Arabidopsis thaliana: one gene and its partners. The protein of the gene in region 1 interacts with the protein of each later gene in a pairwise test. Each region holds a gene or a part of one and is shown in the gene's direction. Other genes may lie near its edges.

Region 1 (5,062 bases):
CAGATTAATTACTACCACTTGGTTGGATAAATTATTTTCATCACATTGTCGGTAGAGAATATCACATTGTACAAACTAAAAAACGTATTATTTTTTCTCATATAACCAAATCTAGAAAGTGTAATTTGGTTATAGCTTAGATGTCGTTTAGCTAATAAATATAGAAATAAAATAATAGAGAAAGGAGAGTTAGTGATGAATGATTGAAATGGTGAATGATAATTGGAGAAGTGGGCCACGTGAGAGAAGCATGTACTTTTGGAAAGTGGGTCATTTCGAAGCTCTTCCTGTCTCCATCCACATGAAGTTGGCATTCTTGTGTCTTTACGGCCTAAGTTTGCGTTTCTACCTCTTGAGAAATGAATCTTGCCTTCTTGTTTAGTGACTGGTACGGATCTAATAGTAACATGACACCATCTCATATTTCTGAATTGGACGTCTTTGAATTGAATACCATAACCTAGGTTATAGTCTACACCTACAATATTACGTGCCGATAGATCAACATGCATGATCCGTATAGTTTAGTGATCTCGTTACGTCGTTATATCAATTGGTGAAAATCATCAAGTGTTTTTTTAGGAGTGATGAATTACTGGTACATAAATTTTACGTTTCGTTTAGATTTTGGAAGACCTTGACGACACAGTGGTAGATGTTGGTAAATGGATAACGCATGCAACAAAGAAATAACGATACAACAACAATAATGATGACTTAAAAGAAGAATAAAATAAATAAAAGTGGCAGTCATAATTCATAAAAGCCTAAGCTAGGAAATTCTTATGGTAGACCAGAAGGGACACCTTCGATGAGTAAAATCTGCCGCACCACAATCTTACATCATTCTCATCCCCTAAACTTGGACCTCCTCCATTAATAAATAAGAAAGCTGCAAACGTTAATCTTCTAATTGTGATTTTGTTACAAGTTTTATAGATTCTTTGTTCTATCTAGCTACATATATTTCATACATTTCACTAATTTACAAATATGTAAGAATGTAATCAATGTAATCGACTAAGAATACATCAAACATTACCAAATTTGATTGACATTTACCTCTGTCTATTCGTCCTCAACATTATTATCCCATACGTTCATACAAATTGACATTTTACACTTAATTTTGAATATCATGATCAATACTCTCTCGCATGGGATACTTAATCAATTGTTGGATTAAATATTCTTTCGCATCTTTGTGAACGCAATTAGTGGGTGGTTTGGGTTCCACCTTTGGATCCTGCCTTTATTCCACATAAAGTAGATCACTGGTCATACTCATATCCTTACGGACAATAAACTATTGTTATTGGTATTGCCGTATTATTGTAATTCTATTCATAGGTCTACTTCCAAATCTTTGAGATTTTTTTTTCATTGGGGAAGTAAGATAGATCTCGCAATTTATGCTCGTAAGCTAACATTATTTGGGCCTTATATGGGCTTTATGTTAAACTGATAGTTAATAATGGACCTCCAATAGTTATTCTGTTAACCGTTACTTCCCGTTAGATTATGACATCCTCACTCAACCAATACTTAAACGCCACATGTCGTCACATCAGCCACGACCTTAAAAAAAAATCAATTCCTCTCTCTTAAAACAAAGAAGAAAAAAACAGAGAAGAAGAAGAAAAAATCTATCTCCGCCATGAACGCGAGAGCTCTTCTTTGCTCTTCAAATATTCACTCTCTCTACACTTCAAATCGTCCACCTGAAAAAACCTCTTCTTCTCGCAGCCTCCGTAATCTCAAACCATCTCCAAAGTCGTTACGGGTATGGATCTACCCGCGAAATAGGTCCAGTGTTTTCCGGGTATTAGTTCGGAGCTCCGACAAGAGTGAAAGCAGTAATTCGTATTACGTAGAAGGAGATAAAGTAAGTGGAAACAATGACGTCGTTTCTGATTCGCCTAGCTCTATCGTCCTCCCATGGTGGGAAGAGTTTCCGAAGCGGTGGGTGATTGTGTTACTCTGTTTCTCAGCTTTTCTTCTCTGCAATATGGACAGAGTAAGTAGCAAAAAAGATTGGATTTTTATGGATTGGGAAGAGTTATTCAATTTGGGACAGATGATGTTTTAACAGGTGAATATGAGTATAGCTATACTTCCGATGTCAGCTGAGTATGGTTGGAATCCAGCAACAGTTGGTCTGATTCAGTCTTCTTTCTTCTGGGGTTACCTTCTTACACAGGTAATCTTTTTTCCCTGATTCCTTAATTAGGGTTTCTATTTTTAGATGATCAATGTTTTTTTAAATGAGTCTCACTAGCTTTCACATTTAAATCAAAAGTGTAGTTGAATCAGTGGTTTGTTGATATTATAGATAGCTGGTGGAATTTGGGCAGACACTGTAGGAGGGAAAAGGGTTCTTGGATTCGGTGTTATTTGGTGGTCAATCGCTACAATTCTCACTCCTGTAGCTGCTAAACTCGGTCTTCCTTACTTGCTCGTTGTTCGTGCTTTCATGGGAGTTGGAGAGGTTTGTGATTACTCTTAGTGATGTTAGATATCAGTCTCGGATTTGTGTGTGTTGATAAGGAGAAGTAAGTTCTCATTTGTGTTCTCCAGGGTGTTGCAATGCCTGCTATGAATAATATATTGTCGAAGTGGGTTCCTGTGCAAGAGAGAAGCAGATCACTCGCGCTTGTTTACAGCGGAATGTACCTTGGATCTGTCACCGGTTTAGCCTTTTCGCCTTTCTTGATTCATCAATTTGGATGGCCTTCTGTGTTTTATTCTTTCGGGTCTCTTGGAACTGTATGGTTGACTCTGTGGCTAACTAAGGTCAGACTTTTTCTACTGTTCTTAACTATTTGTAGATCCCATATCTCATTACCATTGACGATTTGACGTGTGTTGTTACTTGTTATAGGCAGAGAGTTCACCATTAGAAGATCCAACATTGCTCCCTGAAGAAAGAAAGCTAATTGCAGACAACTGTGCTAGCAAAGAGCCAGTGAAGTCGATCCCGTGGAGGCTGATATTGTCGAAACCACCGGTTTGGGCTCTCATCAGTTGCCACTTTTGTCACAACTGGGGAACATTCATTCTCTTAACATGGATGCCAACTTATTACCATCAAGTCCGTTATATTACTGTCTTTTAATCAAGAGGCTTGATGTTTTATTTGTTTTCTTATCATTAATCATATGGACGGTTGTGAGGCAGGTGCTGAAGTTCAACCTTATGGAGTCAGGACTTCTCTCTGTATTTCCATGGATGACAATGGCAATATCTGCAAATGCCGGTGGATGGATTGCCGATACACTTGTCAGCCGAGGTTTCTCTGTCACGAATGTCCGCAAGGTACTTTGTATATCACTTCTTCTGTTCTTCAGTTCCGTTTTGATGCAATCTAGTAAAAGTGATACATTCGATAATCAGTTTCTATGATGAAATTCAGATAATGCAAACAATAGGGTTTCTTGGACCAGCGTTCTTCCTAACACAGCTGAAACACATAGATTCTCCTACAATGGCTGTTTTGTGCATGGCTTGTAGTCAGGGGACTGATGCGTTTTCACAGTCTGGTCTATACTCTAACCATCAAGACATCGCTCCAAGATACTCTGTAAGTTTAGTCAATTACTCCCAAGTCTTAATGAATCATGCTACTCAAAAGAAAATGGATTAGCACATTGATGTTGTTGGTCTTCTCAGGGAGTGTTACTTGGTTTGTCTAATACTGCTGGAGTACTTGCCGGAGTTCTTGGCACAGCTGCGACTGGTCACATACTACAACACGGTCAGTACTCTCAAAACACTTCGTAATTCTGACAATGCTTTGCTTAATCTTTATAAAATCTCTTCTAAGTTTCATTTTTTTTGTGTTTTCTCAATGGAATTAACAATGACATGAAATGCCTCAGGTTCTTGGGATGACGTTTTCACGATTTCGGTCGGTCTTTACCTCGTTGGGACCGTCATTTGGAACCTATTTTCAACCGGAGAGAAGATAATCGATTGATCCATTCCGAGAATAGTAAATAGTTCGGCTCCAAGACCTCTCATCAGGTGCAACTTCACCTCACGCCAGTCTCTGATTATACAAGTATCATTGCAGTCTGAGAGCTAGCCGGAATATTCCTTTTTTGCCAGAAAATTCTTCAGGATCTTTCTGCTCGTTGATTTAGGCCAAACGCATATGAATAATACTTTGTAGATGAAAGATATACAGATGATTTTTTGTAAATAAACAAAGCTCACACTTTCTCAAGATTACTCAAAATCTCTCTTCAGCTCTATATATATTTGTATCATAAAGATATTACACGCAATTCTCTAATATGCTATTGCGTAGCAAACAAGTGACCAAGAAAGAGTTTTCGAAACTTAAGGTCATAACTAAAACTTAAGATTTACTGCCACAGGTAGAATTTGATCTTGTGAAGGAGGAAGAGGAGTTTATGAATTGTATGCAGTCTTCTATTGCCGCTGATCTGTGATTATTATCATTAACGACAGAGATGACTGAAGGCTGAGATATCCCAGAAGAAGAAGCCTTCTTCAATGGTGGAGATCTCTTCTTCTTCTTCTTCCTCATCACCACCAGACGTAAGCCCATAACGAATTTACAGCTGAGATCTTTGATCAGTCTTGCTGCTGTGCATTCCGTTTTCCTCGGTAGCCTCAAACCACAGCTTGTTGTGCATCCCGGATTCTTATAATATGGTCCCTTGACTGAGGATTGCTTACCAGGAGTTACTGGTCTAGTGTTTGCATTGAACCGTTTTGTTCCTGTAGCTGACATATCAAGAGAGAGTGAGAACAAACTTGAGGAGAGTAAGGGATTATATTTATAGGGATTGATGCTGAACAAGTTGCCTATAAGAGTTCAGGTAGAGACCAGAGAAGCCATGATTCTTAATAATGTATCAATAATGACATGTTAACACTTAAAGCAATGATTACTGTAGACATTCAAAACATATACAAATAAAATATAAGCAGGTAGGTTCAATTTCATACTTACTTTAGATACTTTATGTCAAAAGGATTGTAATAACTAACAGATCTAAAGATATCAGAAACTTAAACGCCGAAATTTGGAAAG
Region 2 (3,675 bases), on another chromosome or scaffold:
CTTATTCATTCTGATCTTGGGTTCCTCACATGTTTCATCAGCGAGGGCAATGCATACAGTGTCCTTCCTCTTCTTACCCTGAAAATCCAAAACCCCAATCAAGTAAGTAATCACAGAGATAAAAAGAACAATCCAAACCAATTCTAAACTCAAAAAAAAAAACTTCAGACAAAAAAGTTGTACCCTAACTGAATATGTTTACAAGATCAGACAAAGTAAAAAACATAACTGAATATGTTTACAACATGCTCGTGATATACAGTCAAGACACAGACGATCCAAACCAAGTCTAAACTCAAAACACCCTAACATAGTGACATAAGGAACAAAACCTAACCTTGATGAGAATTGTATCGCCTCGGAAAAGCTGGAGTTTTTCCATGGTAGTAGGATGGAGAGAGACAACAGAGTTGTCATCGTTAATAGCTTCATCGACAACAAGTCGGTTTGGAGACTTCTTCCTCTCTAGAATCGCAGTACTGAAATCCTTCTTAGTTTTCCTGAAACAAATACCCCAGGAAGACAAACAAAATCAGCTTTCAGATGAGATCAAACTAAAAAACCCTATTCTCAATATCGAAAAACCCAAGTAAAAAAATCGAAACTTTATGATCGGAAAACAAAAATCAAAGATCTAAGTACTTACGAGTCGGAGGATTCCGGTTCGTTTGACATAATGATAGCTTAAACTGACAAGAGAGCTCTAAGAAGGAAGTTGGGAAATTTGTTTCTAGAGAGATCGATTGGTGATGATGATGATGATGATGAATGGGATCTCAAGGGAGCTGAACTCGGGATTTTATACGCTCTGTGATTTCCTTCTTGTTGGAAAAATAAGCGACCCTTAACTTTTAAGTTTATCTTGAAAAGTTCCAAAAACTAGGTGTTGTGATAAATACACCCATGTTCCCTTAACATCATATCAATTAATTTATATTATTATATGATTTATCGAGAATCAAAACAAAAATCTACCTATATGAAGAATTAAAAAATTTGATGTAATTTTAAACTTATTTTAATAGTGTGGCGAGGGTACGTAAATGTTTATTAAAAACGTTATGGGGGAAAGTTGAAAATAAAAGTAAAAGAGAGGTGAGGATAACAGTTTTACTTTCTGGTTTTAGCAAACACAAGAAAGGAATAGAAGGTTCTTAGGTAGCGGTACCAAAGCAAGCTACATGTTTTTCTTACTTTTTTATAAATAGAAATTTAATATCTTACCATTTGATTTCTTTGTTCTAAAATAGATTTCCGTTTTTTTTATACGAAGTTATCAACATACGATTCAATTCAATAATTGCAGAAATTTTTGTTTGCATATGAATATATCATCAATATGAAATTCTAAATAAATATTCATAATTATTTATTATACGAAAAAATAATTATTTTCCCAAAAGATAAACCCTTATTGTTGTAAAAAAGTTATCAAACTAACTGAACTTTCATCTAATTAAAAATATTAGTTACTTAAAAAAAAGTTTGGGTTACAAAAGATTAATAGGAATCTAGGATATCATCAATCTAGAACTACGCGCCGTTGTTAGTCTCTTCGATATTAGACGTTGCGCCGTTTTCACTTTGAGATTTGCGATATTATAACTACATGCCGTTTTAAACTCCACTGATCGTCTTCTATTCTAGTTCGATTCTCGACGGAGAATACTCGACGAGAAAATCCAGATCGGGAATCAACTTAGAGAAGAAGAAAATTAAAAAAGAGAACTTCTAAAGATGAATTTGGGGTTCTTAGTTGGAGTTTTCGGCGTTCTTATTCTTTCTCATGCCGCTTATTCAACAATCCAATGTATGTCTACTCTTCCCAATCCAATTCCAGTTCCAATTGAGTCAGATCTACTTTAATTTTCGAGATAGGATCTTGATTTGGGTTTCTCTTGTTTATTTCAGATAGAGGATTGTTGAAGATTATGGAGGAAGAGTTTTCTCGACCACCGATTAATGTGAGTATATAATGATAACGGTTTCTCTTTTCCTCAATTGTGTTTGAATTATATCAGCAATGATTATGCTTTTATATGAATCATGATTGGATTTATTTAAGGTTATTCTGGAGTTGATCATTGGACTAGCTCTGTGTATGTGGGCTGCTTTGACTTTCCCTGGTAAATTTCTCTCGATCCATCCGGATTCTGATGAAAACAGGTTTGTGATCATGTTTCTCTCGAACTCTCTGTTTTGCATCAGTGTTAATCAATCTGAATTCATGTTATCTAGTGAGTGTTTTTACTATTGAATTTTTCTCTGTTCGTACTTTGTTGAACTTGGTGTAGAGTTACTACGGGTCTTATAGAAGCATCTTCTGGCTAGATTTGGTTCAATTATTCAGTTTAATCATGGGTGTTTCTAGTGAATATGTTTTCTTTTGACTGAGAAGGTTTACGGATGTGTTGTTAATCAATTGATTCAAAGAACTTGTGCTCTAGAGATGTTTCGAGGGTCTAGTTTTGATGTCTCTTTAACTCTCTGTTGTGCATCAGTGTTTATCAATCTGAAACATGGAAATTTGGTAGTTATTATATTTCCCGATGATTGAATGACCACCAAAGACTCATGTTTATTGATAAGAAACTGTCGTCTAGAGATGTTCTAGGTCAAACATTGATGTTTCTTTAATACTTTGTGCAGCTAAGGTTTTCTAAAATGCAGGACATTCAAAGGGACATTTTCTAGTTTATATTTGGTCCAGTTACGATTATGGGTTTCAAGAGCTTTAACCAGTTCTGCTCCTGGCTAATTCAATCAGTTTATATTTGTTTCATTGGCTCTTTAGACCCACTTTGGTTCCTTCTATGTCGCAGCCTCTCCCCTACCTTTTTGTACATTAGGTTCTTGAATTGGTTTTGAGTTTGGCTTTTGCTAGATAAAGTGAATATCTCCTGTTAACTGGTTTCTTTCAAAAAATTTGCAGGGCGGTGTTTTTACCAGATAATTCGGATTTCATGATATTCAATCACCGTGGCAGACTGTTCCCACCGCAGATCGACATGAAGTTTTGAATTTTTATCACACTGCTTAGTCAAACACTGATCTGTGTAATGTTATGAGATGTTTCCATTGAAATTCTACTCTAAGTAACTACTCTGCTTTGCATCAATTTTTGATTCTTGAAACGAGTCTTGTGATGTTTCTGTGTGTCAGGTCTCTACTTAGAATCTTTTAGAATGAAGAATCAACATAACAACAAGTGCACAGGTCCTAGCAGGATAGGATACTGTGTAAATAGTCAAATACAAACAATTAAAACAACAAAATTTGCTATTTTATTCATTCCGGTTACAACTTTCTGATACATTAGAAAAAGCATAACCGAACAGAACCGGTTTAGATTCTCTTGGCACTGTTCTGGAAGGTCCAACTCCAAATGTCATGACGTTCAACGCCACGGCCCATGGCACCAGAAAAACCGGGGTACATATTTTGAAGAAAAACCTTAGAGAGATCTAAATGGGCAACGATCAAAGGCTTCTTAGGTTTCTTAACGGTTTCTGGCGCGAGAGTAACTGTAACCTTGGAGTTTCTATACTCAATCCAAGCCTTGTACCTCTCTCCATTACTCAGCTTGAACTCTTTAAACGACCAGTGTTTCATTTTCCCAATTCCTGTCTGAACCCAATAACCAGCTTTCTCAGCAACAACGGAAGTAACAGAGTT
Region 3 (3,963 bases), on another chromosome or scaffold:
AAGTACTGTAGTTATGGAATGGTTAAATTTGATTCAAGGTCATCTTAATGATGTGCTCATTAGTGGTCCTGTATGTGTTAGCATTTTAGCAACAAGAATCATAAAGAGGACTTTTCTTGCTGGTGCAGGAATGGTGGACATACATATGCCTTGGACCTTCAGATCCTCACCCAAATTGGCATCTGGGGATGCGTGGTACACAGCAACGGGCAGTGATGTGGCGTGTGTGGAAAGAAGGTGGAACCGGGTTCTTGTACTGGGGTGCAAATTGCTATGAGAAGGCAACGGTTCCAAGCGCCGAGGTTATTTTCTTATCCTTAGTTCTGTTGTAAATGTTTCTTGATCGATTGCTTCATGATATTATATAACCAAATGAATAGGTAAAGTTTAGGCGCGGTCTTCCTCCTGGTGATGGAGTTCTTTACTACCCCGGTGAAGTTTTCTCATCTTCTTCAGAGCCAGTTGCTTCACTTAGGCTAGAGCGCCTTCTTAGTGGCTTACAGGTACGTCAACTTTATAGTTTTACCAATCAGATAACAACGAAAAACTGTTCCAGTTGGCTTATTTGGAGAATGAATCAGGATTATGAGTACTTGAAGCTGTATGAGTCAAAATACGGAAGAGAGGAAGCGATGGGGCTATTGGAGAAGACAGGGGTGTACACGGGGCCGGAGCGCTACACTTTGGAACATAGACCGATCGATGTATTGCGAGGAGAAGTGTACAACACATGTAGACCATCTTGAGTAACCAGATCGTTTAGTATCTATAAACACTCTCGGTTAGCCCTAAGTTAATAATAAAAGAACATAACAAGAAAACTCTAACAATGTCTAGATTACCAGTGAAAAAGGTTAATTAGTATGAAAATAATAAAATAGATAGATTTGCTTTGTACTTCTGATTCTTTAATTTGTTGGGAAATACTGTATCTGAAAAAGCTCATTTTATGTGGTGCTAGGTTGATATCATTCATCATAGTCACGTATGAATGGAAGGGCACAAGACATAATCATCCAACAAAAAAGGATATAAAACCTACACTGACTAAAAATTAGGAAAAAATGTTATTTAATCCCCAACTTTCAAAAAATGGCCATTTTATTCGTCAACTTCGTATGCGGTCGTTTAAAACATGAACTAAACGTTGACTAACTTTTAAAACATGATCATTCGTCGACCAGGCCAAAATAGACATGATGTTATCAGTTATTAACGGAACTTCTAACGTCTGTTATCATCTGTTAACGACTTTATTAGTCAAGTTTTAAATTGTGGTCATTTTAAACATCAACTTGGCCATTTAAAACATGAACTAAACGTTGACTACCATTTAAGATATGAACAATTCGTTGACCTGACCAAAATAGACATGTTTTTATCAGTAATTAATAGAACCTAGAAACCCGTTATTATCCGTTAGTGACTGTTAATCAGTCTAAAACGACGTCGTTTGAGAATAAAATTAGTGTCAAAGCGTAAACACACATACAGCCAGCTCTCGGTTCTATCATTAGTGAAAGAACATTACTAGAATTTGATTTATTAGAGGAATAAAGAAGATTGATCAAAAACAGCTTGCATTATTATTCAAAACATAAATCTAGCATATTATAGATAATATTTTTCTTATTGTCTTAGATAAAGTTTCCATTCAACTTTGCACGTCTAAAAGCTCGGAATAGTCCACAAATTATCACATAGAAAAAAACTTATATTCGTGCCGACAAAAACAAACGTTACTTTTTTATATCTGCAAGGACGAGAAAAGAACGGATAAACTCATATATCGTGCACACAAAACATGCGTGTCTTCTACATCTAGAACTGTCGTTACTCGTTACCATCATCACGCCGTTGACCTAGACTCATGCCTATTCTTTAATCGTTTAATATAAACCGTTGGATCCCTTCACACTCCTACGCGTCAAGATCGAACTCATTTTAGGAAAATAATTAAAAAAAAAGACCGAGAAGAGGTAGAGGTATAGGTGGTCAAGTCTTGCCTATAAAAGCTGATCCCAACAAGAATAATTCTTTCATTCACCAAAAAAAACTCATCAATCAAACAAAACTCTTAAAAGCTTAAGAACAAATAATAAAAATGGCCGGTGAAGGAGAAGTGATTGCTTGCCATACCCTCGAAGTTTGGAACGAGAAGGTCAAAGACGCCAATGAATCCAAGAAACTGGTACTTTTCTCTTCTTCTCCTCTCTAGGGTTTCTTCTTCTATTTGATTTGATTACTTTACTTAGGGTTTTCAGTTTTCTTGATCTAGTGGTAAACTGGTAATTCATGTTAGATACAAAACCTTGGTTTTTATCATGTTCATGTACCATGTCTTGATTTGGTCTGAAATTTGATAGAAACTGGTATTTTCTCGTCCTGTCTAGGGTTTTTTTTGTTTTTTAATTTGAGTTGGTTACGTTACTTAGGGTTTAGGGCTTTCTTGGTTAGTTAGCTTAATGGTGAATGATGTTCGAGAAACGGTTGCTTTTGATCCCGTTCTTGTCCCATATCTTGCTCTGGTGGTCCCAAATTGATAGAAGCTAGAACTTTCTCTTGTCCTGTCTAGGGTTTTGTTCAATTTGATTTGATTACTTTACTTAGGGATTACGGTTCGTCTTGATTAGCTACCTTAGTGGTGAATGATAATTGTATCCTGATATGGTCTGAAATTATAGAAACTTTACTTTCTCTTGTTATGTCCAGGGCTTTTTTTCAATTTGATTTGATTACGTTATGGTTTAGGGTTTTCTTGATTAGTTAGTTTAGTGGTGAATGATGTTTGTGTTCTGATTTGTTCTGAAATTTTGATTGAAACCAGATTGTGATAGACTTCACAGCATCATGGTGTCCACCTTGCCGTTTCATTGCACCAGTGTTTGCAGAGATGGCTAAGAAGTTCACTAATGTTGTCTTCTTCAAGATCGATGTTGATGAATTGCAAGCTGTTGCTCAGGAATTCAAAGTTGAGGCAATGCCTACTTTTGTTTTCATGAAAGAAGGCAACATCATTGATCGTGTTGTCGGTGCTGCGAAAGATGAGATCAATGAGAAGCTGATGAAGCATGGTGGTCTTGTAGCTTCTGCTTGATTGATTTCAGTTTCTAACTCTTTGCATCATAATAAAGTTTTTATCTTTCGTATGAAATAAAAGTGATGCATTGCTACTGCACATTTGTATTATAACTATGTTGATTTTTCGATTACTGGTTTGTTATCTCTTGGCTTCAACCACGAACACGAAAATAGCGACACACATTAAGACTGGTTTTAAACACGATAAGAGAGCGTAGGTTGAAAATATGTAGTTATGAACAGAGCAGTGATTAGTTCTCTGATTTCCACTATAAATGTGTGAAAATGTTATGTAATACTATGGAAAAATCACTTTCAACAGCTCATATTTCTCCATCTACGTCACGTCTATATCTCTTTAAGTTCCTTGAAGTTTTATCCAACGTTTCTCTGTTTTTATCCTTGAACAAGAACTGAAACAGAGAAAACAAGAGAAGATGAAGCTGACCTGTAGATTCAAACATTTCCCTATGCTCTTTAGATCCAAAGCCAGCCGCTCGTTCCCTCTAGGCGCGTCAGAGTAGGCCTGTCGATGGGACTAGCATAGACACATAGTGACTCTACTTGAACAAGCGTCAGACTGCATACAGCAGGTTAGAGCTGGTAGGACTTGGTTAGTGATCCACTACAAAAATAATCCATATCAATAGCACACGAGGATAGATCAGTTTTCCCTACTGCAATAAAAGATGAGTTCATAGTTCATATTAAAAATGAGTTCATAGATGCGGCACAGAGAGATGATTCGAGAACAAGTGAGGAGATAACGGATTTAACAATACGGTTGAAGGAGGCTTATATAGATGAAGAACAATATTGGTACCAGAAAAGTAGGAGTTTATGGATGAAGGTTGGGGATAATAACTCAAAATATTTCCATGC
Region 4 (5,428 bases), on another chromosome or scaffold:
GTCCAATTTATCTAAAACCCAAATAAAAAGATCTCGATTTTAGGAGAGACAGGGTTAAGGACTTACAGTAACAGTCATGAATATGTCAATCTTTCTACTTCAGCTCACTCCAGGGGAAAGATGTTGATTCTCAGAGCAACTTACGAAAACTTGTCGAATATGTCAGTAAACTATGAACATGTTAAGATATGTCTCCCATAGATCAAGAAGGCCGCAGATTAGTTAGCGCAAATCTGATGCGAAACACGTTGCTTCTGCAGGTAGATACTCTGTTCTCTGCTCAATTTCTGCAGCATCAAACATGAAACCAACTCTGCAATGCCGGTTACTGCAAACGTTGACAAAGACAACTACCAATCGAGCCTGACCAAACAGATACTAGTAAAAAAGCTGGAAGCAAACTGAAAACTAAACCCATACAAAAGGTATTTTCCACGATCTTCGGTGCAATTGTTCTTCCTATATCTCTTATCCCCATTCTTTGGCATGGCATGGTATATAGTAACATGAATATACATAAAATGAAAGTGTAAACGCCTGGAAAGAGCTAACCTACGCTTTACACGCGAAGAAAGCAGAACAATCTCAGAGTAATCATGGCCGGAACAAGAAACACAATTCAAGCACAGAGACCCACAGAACACAGTCATACAGAGTGCAGGAGAAGCAACGCACTTGCCCTGAAACAACTTTCAATACATGTACTCCTAAGATCTGATGTTCTTTCTCAAGATCATTGAAAACTTACGAAAGAGAAGCCATAGAGTAAACAACTAATCAAATCCAAAATTCCAATTCCACATTGATTCAACTCATCAAAAGTTCAAAATGTAAAACTGTGTTATATCACACACAGATACTAGTACTGATCAACATAGCAGCACTCTTGCTTCACCTCAGCTCTCATAAACCTCTGCAAAGAATAACAATAAGAAATACGCAAGATCTTACTAAACTAAACAACACCATTAAAACCCTAAAAAATGTGAAGCTTTTGAGAAAAATCAGAAAACATTACCTGACTTTCTTGATGAGGATTGATTGGAGTTTTCGAGCAAAGTCAATGGATTTGATTCTGCGTTCAAGATTCTTCCTAGCGAGAACCTTCTTCTCCGAATTCTTAATGTGATGAGTCTGAGTCCCTTTGATCAGCCTCTCCATTCCACTCGATTGCATCTTCTTCTGCAAAATCGTCAGTGCCTTGTCTAAATCATTGGAGAACACCTTCACTCTTATCCCTCGCTCTTGCTGCAACTGCTGGTTTAGACTCGGACGAGTCACCAACCCCGTAACTCGCTTCGCTATCGTGTTCATCTCTTTTACTTGTTTTCTGAAAAAGTATGTTTCTGAAAACGTAAATGAGATTGACGAGAGACAGTGATAGGATCTGAATTCGACTTACCGGTCGGAATCTCGCCGGAGAGAATCAAAGAGCCAATTTGAGTGATGATGGAGAATGTCTAGGTTAAAAAAGAGGCGATGGAGGAAATGAGATAAAAACCAGAGAATTTACTAATATAGGGGTGGTTATGTAAGTTTTATGAGATATAGGGATGTTTTTGTAAATATCCTTAAATCTAATCTTCTGTTTGATTCAGAGAGTATTGACTTTAAAGAAGAACATTCAAGCCTTTCAAAAAAAAAAAGCTTCTTTAATTTCTCTCTCTCTCTGTGGAGTGTTCGAATCTCCAAGCTCTCTCTCAAATGGCAGCGTCCACATAGTAGAGCTGAAGAAGCACTGTATCTATCTACAGAGAAAGTGAAGAGGAAGAAAAGGAAGAGAGGATATAGAAATTAAGCTGGCGACTTTTAGTCCGAGGCGAGCAATGGCAGAGTTACGGCACTCGAGCTCTCTCGGTAGCCGATCTTCTTCTTCTCCGTTACGTGCCGCCGGAGATGAGGATTCTTCATCGCCTCATGTACACGATCACTCTCCTAACGGCGGAGACGACGAAGATGGTCGCCCACGTCATCCTTCTAGAGATCGAGACCGTCCGATCTGGTTTCACTCTTTGTTTCCTTTCTTCGGTGATGATCCTAGGGTTTCTCCTCAGAAGAATAAAATCTCGCTTCTATTGATTTTGATTCTCGCTATTGCTAGCTTGATCTCAGTTTATGGGATTATTAATCACTTGGTAAGTCTCTTCCTTCGATCTAGGAATTGAGATCTTCAAGGCTCTATGTTCTAACTGTGGAATCGATTTGGAAAAGTATTTAGCTTTGTTTTGAGTAAAGGGGTTTGTTTATTTAGGTGGATTTGGATTGACATTGTTCTCAGACTAAGATTGCTTCTATGTCTATCTTCTGCAGAATGCTCCTTATTTATGTAAAAAAGATGGGATTGTGCTAAACTGTCCTCATGTAAGTGTTTGAAAACTTTGGTTATGTGTTTTGTTGAATGCATAAGCTTTGAATCCTGTAAATTTAATTGTGTGTTGGTTTGCATTTGTAAGGTAAAAGAGTCACCTTCTCCTTGGGAGAATCCTTTATCTGCAACAACTTCTTGGAAGCCTTGTGCTGAGCGGCGGATTGGTGGAATCTCAGGTATTGAAGGGCTAGAGCATTGTCATTTTCATTGTCATGTGTTATTTTTTTTTTTTATTTTTTTTTTTTCGTCGAAACACATTGTCATGTGTTATTGATCTGTCTTTTCGTGAAAGTTCAAGTCTTTTTCCTTGGTTAGCTTATTAGATTGTGTCAACTGTTTTTTTCAGATCTTCCTCCTGAGAATGAAACAAATGGCTATGTATTCATTCATGCTGAAGGTGGTTTGAATCAGCAGCGAATTGCTGTATGTATCTTCCAACTTTTATCTCTTTTTCTTCTCGCCATTATCCAATCATGGATCAATGTCTAAATGGCTGTTGTTCTTCTTGCCATCGTCCAATCTTGAATTCATGCCCTTTTGTTTCCAGATCTGCAACGCAGTAGCTGTTGCCAAGATTATGAATGCAACACTGATTCTACCAGTACTGAAGCAGGACCAAATATGGAAAGACACAACGTAAAATCATATTCAGATATTGATTTCATTTCATCTTGAATTACTTCTCTATTTTCTTTTTGGTTTACTGAGCTTGTTAACTTTCTTTTGCAGAAAATTTGAAGACATTTTTGATGTAGATCATTTCATTGATTACTTGAAGGATGATGTCCGAATTGTTCGAGACATACCTGACTGGTTCACTGACAAAGCAGAGCTATTCTCTAGTATAAGGTTTGCTTGTCAACTCATTATTTGTTGATGATGTACTTGTTGGACGATTTCAAAAGTTAGCTTGTGGAATTATGGCGTCACTGGGTGCTCCTTGTGTATATCTCTGATTTAAAAATCGATCTGTATTTTTTAATCAGATATGATGTTGACCAAGTTATTTATTTATCTTCTGCAGAAGAACAGTCAAAAACATTCCCAAATATGCAGCAGCCCAATTTTATATTGACAATGTTTTACCTCGGATAAAGGAGAAGAAGATAATGGCCTTGAAGCCTTTTGTCGATCGACTTGGGTATAACCAATATTCCTATAGTTTAGTGCTCAGATTTTGGAAATCGTCTTATAAACAATGAATGATTTATTCTTGTGATGCTGGAAATTTTTTCAGGTATGACAATGTACCTCAAGAAATCAACAGATTACGATGCCGTGTAAATTATCATGCTCTCAAATTTCTTCCAGAGATAGAGCAGATGGCTGATTCACTTGTTTCTAGAATGAGAAATCGCACTGGAAATCCAAATCCATATATGTATGCCATATCAGAGATTCGACTTTGTTATAACTTAGGACCATATGCATTATATCAACTTAAAACTATACCCATGTCTCTTGTATAGGGCTCTTCATCTTAGATTCGAGAAAGGAATGGTTGGTCTATCGTTCTGTGATTTTGTGGGGACAAGGGAAGAGAAAGTTAAAATGGCAGAATACAGACAAAAGGAATGGCCTCGGCGTTTCAAGGTGACATTTATAAGCAGTTGTCAACTTCTTTTGGTGGCTAAACAACCTCAACCGCTACCTTAATGAAATTTCTTGACATATATTGCAGAATGGTTCCCATCTCTGGCAGCTCGCCTTGCAGAAGCGCAAAGAAGGTCGATGCCCTCTTGAGCCAGGAGAAGTTGCTGTGATCCTACGTGCAATGGGCTATCCAAAAGAAACACAAATCTATGTTGCATCTGGTCAAGTCTATGGCGGTCAAAACCGTATGGCTCCACTAAGAAACATGTTCCCAAATTTGGTAAGCACAACACCGGACTCTTATAATTCTTTGATGAATCAGCACAAACTTGTCTCTCACATTAACTGTCCTTTGAATCAGGTAACAAAGGAGGATTTAGCAGGCAAAGAGGAACTAACAACGTTTAGAAAACACGTTACAAGTCTTGCGGCTCTAGATTTCTTGGTGTGCTTGAAATCAGATGTATTTGTGATGACACACGGTGGAAACTTTGCAAAACTGATCATCGGAGCGCGTAGATATATGGGGCATCGCCAGAAATCAATCAAACCGGATAAAGGGTTGATGTCGAAATCATTTGGGGATCCTTACATGGGATGGGCAACTTTTGTGGAAGATGTAGTTGTAACCCATCAAACACGAACCGGTTTACCTGAAGAAACTTTCCCTAACTATGATCTTTGGGAAAATCCTCTCACTCCATGCATGTGTAAAGCTTGATGATGATGCTTTTGTTTGGTCTTGGATTTTGTCTGATGAGGAGCAACAAACTATAGAGATTCGTAGTTTTCTTCTTCTTCTTCTTCTTTTTTGACCTTTCAAATCTTTGAAGTCTTCATTTACCATCTTTGTAATCATTTTGATATTATGTAAAGTTCCTAGTGATGAAAAAAAAGTTTCTTTTTTATATTAAATTTGATCAAATTGATGCACTAAACTTTAATTAAAAGAAAATTAGCTCAACGGTTACTAATCCAATTCTTAATTTTTTGTCACGCTCTCTAATAGTACCCGCCATTAACACAACCATTGCGTGTTGTCTTCTCTCTTACTCTCAGGTTCTCAACAACAAAAGAGGAAAACAAAATCAGAAGCTATCGTAATCAGTTCTCATCTCTATGACCGGACTATCCGTAGAGAAAACCGGGTCGACCCGGTCCACTGTCTTCTTCATCATCTTTAATCTATCCATTTTTAGGTACTCCGCTTCACTGGGTTTTTGAATTTGATTTTGGTTTTTGAGTGGGTGGTGTTTGAGTGATCGATCAATCACAAAAGTTTCGTCTTTTTCAGTTTATCGATTGAAGCAAGGTCGAGGCAACAACATGCTAGCTTTCCTCCAAGAGGATGGAATTCGTACGATTCCTTTTGTTGGACTATCTCTGAAGCTGAGTTCTTGCAGAGTGCTGAAATTGTTTCTAAGCGTCTTCTTCCTCATGGTTATCAGGTAATTGTGAGTTTCTTTA

Evidence for each region.
Region 2: the proteins of PHT4;1 (region 1) and AT5G03345 interact in a protein complementation assay, tested with the Arabidopsis thaliana proteins (one large-scale study listed by BioGRID).
Region 3: the proteins of PHT4;1 (region 1) and TRX5 interact in a protein complementation assay, tested with the Arabidopsis thaliana proteins (one large-scale study listed by BioGRID).
Region 4: the proteins of PHT4;1 (region 1) and AT3G26370 interact in a protein complementation assay, tested with the Arabidopsis thaliana proteins (one large-scale study listed by BioGRID).

The regions. Positions count from the first base shown.
Region 1 is NC_003071.7:12,672,599-12,677,660, reverse strand, and holds PHT4;1 (phosphate transporter 4;1), read left to right. Parts: upstream 1-1,583; 5' UTR 1,584-1,657; coding exon 1,658-2,017; exon of another isoform or gene 2,018-2,092; coding exon 2,093-2,200; intron 2,201-2,332; coding exon 2,333-2,488; intron 2,489-2,577; coding exon 2,578-2,793; intron 2,794-2,881; coding exon 2,882-3,091; intron 3,092-3,177; coding exon 3,178-3,315; intron 3,316-3,393; coding exon of another isoform or gene 3,394-3,402; exon of another isoform or gene 3,403-3,412; coding exon 3,413-3,580; intron 3,581-3,669; coding exon 3,670-3,754; intron 3,755-3,878; coding exon 3,879-3,976; 3' UTR 3,977-4,360; downstream 4,361-5,062. Other genes in the region: AT2G29654 (uncharacterized protein), read left to right, coding at 200-382; JOSL (JOSEPHIN-like protein), read right to left, coding at 4,361-4,752. UniProt on the Arabidopsis thaliana protein: Specific for inorganic phosphate transport across the thylakoid membrane in a sodium dependent manner. Binds glutamate but cannot transport it. May act as an ascorbate transporter at the thylakoid membrane.
Region 2 is NC_003076.8:812,459-816,133, forward strand, and holds AT5G03345 (membrane magnesium transporter-like protein), read left to right. Parts: upstream 1-1,626; 5' UTR 1,627-1,737; coding exon 1,738-1,814; intron 1,815-1,911; coding exon of another isoform or gene 1,912-1,915; coding exon 1,916-1,964; intron 1,965-2,065; coding exon 2,066-2,257; 3' UTR 2,258-2,849; intron 2,850-2,932; coding exon of another isoform or gene 2,933-3,020; 3' UTR 3,021-3,161; downstream 3,162-3,675. Other genes in the region: AtCDC48C (ATPase, AAA-type, CDC48 protein), read right to left, coding at 1-78, 338-500, 647-675; AT5G03350 (Legume lectin family protein), read right to left, coding at 3,346-3,675. UniProt on the Arabidopsis thaliana protein: Mediates Mg(2+) transport.
Region 3 is NC_003070.9:17,074,398-17,078,360, reverse strand, and holds TRX5 (thioredoxin H-type 5), read left to right. Parts: upstream 1-1,943; 5' UTR 1,944-2,104; coding exon 2,105-2,191; intron 2,192-2,827; coding exon 2,828-3,097; 3' UTR 3,098-3,419; downstream 3,420-3,963. Other genes in the region: AT1G45150 (alpha-1,6-mannosyl-glycoprotein 2-beta-N-acetylglucosaminyltransferase), read left to right, coding at 129-302, 381-503, 582-746.
Region 4 is NC_003074.8:9,655,060-9,660,487, forward strand, and holds AT3G26370 (O-fucosyltransferase family protein), read left to right. Parts: upstream 1-1,620; 5' UTR 1,621-1,826; coding exon 1,827-2,135; intron 2,136-2,310; coding exon 2,311-2,361; intron 2,362-2,453; coding exon 2,454-2,544; intron 2,545-2,714; coding exon 2,715-2,791; intron 2,792-2,915; coding exon 2,916-3,004; intron 3,005-3,097; coding exon 3,098-3,217; intron 3,218-3,392; coding exon 3,393-3,509; intron 3,510-3,605; coding exon 3,606-3,749; intron 3,750-3,837; coding exon 3,838-3,961; coding exon of another isoform or gene 3,962-4,024; exon of another isoform or gene 4,025-4,049; coding exon 4,050-4,241; intron 4,242-4,322; coding exon 4,323-4,682; 3' UTR 4,683-4,886; downstream 4,887-5,428. Other genes in the region: AT3G26360 (Ribosomal protein S21 family protein), read right to left, coding at 904-913, 1,019-1,314; AT3G26380 (Melibiase family protein), read left to right, coding at 5,081-5,160, 5,256-5,409. UniProt on the Arabidopsis thaliana protein: Glycosyltransferase involved in the biosynthesis of pectic type-II arabinogalactans.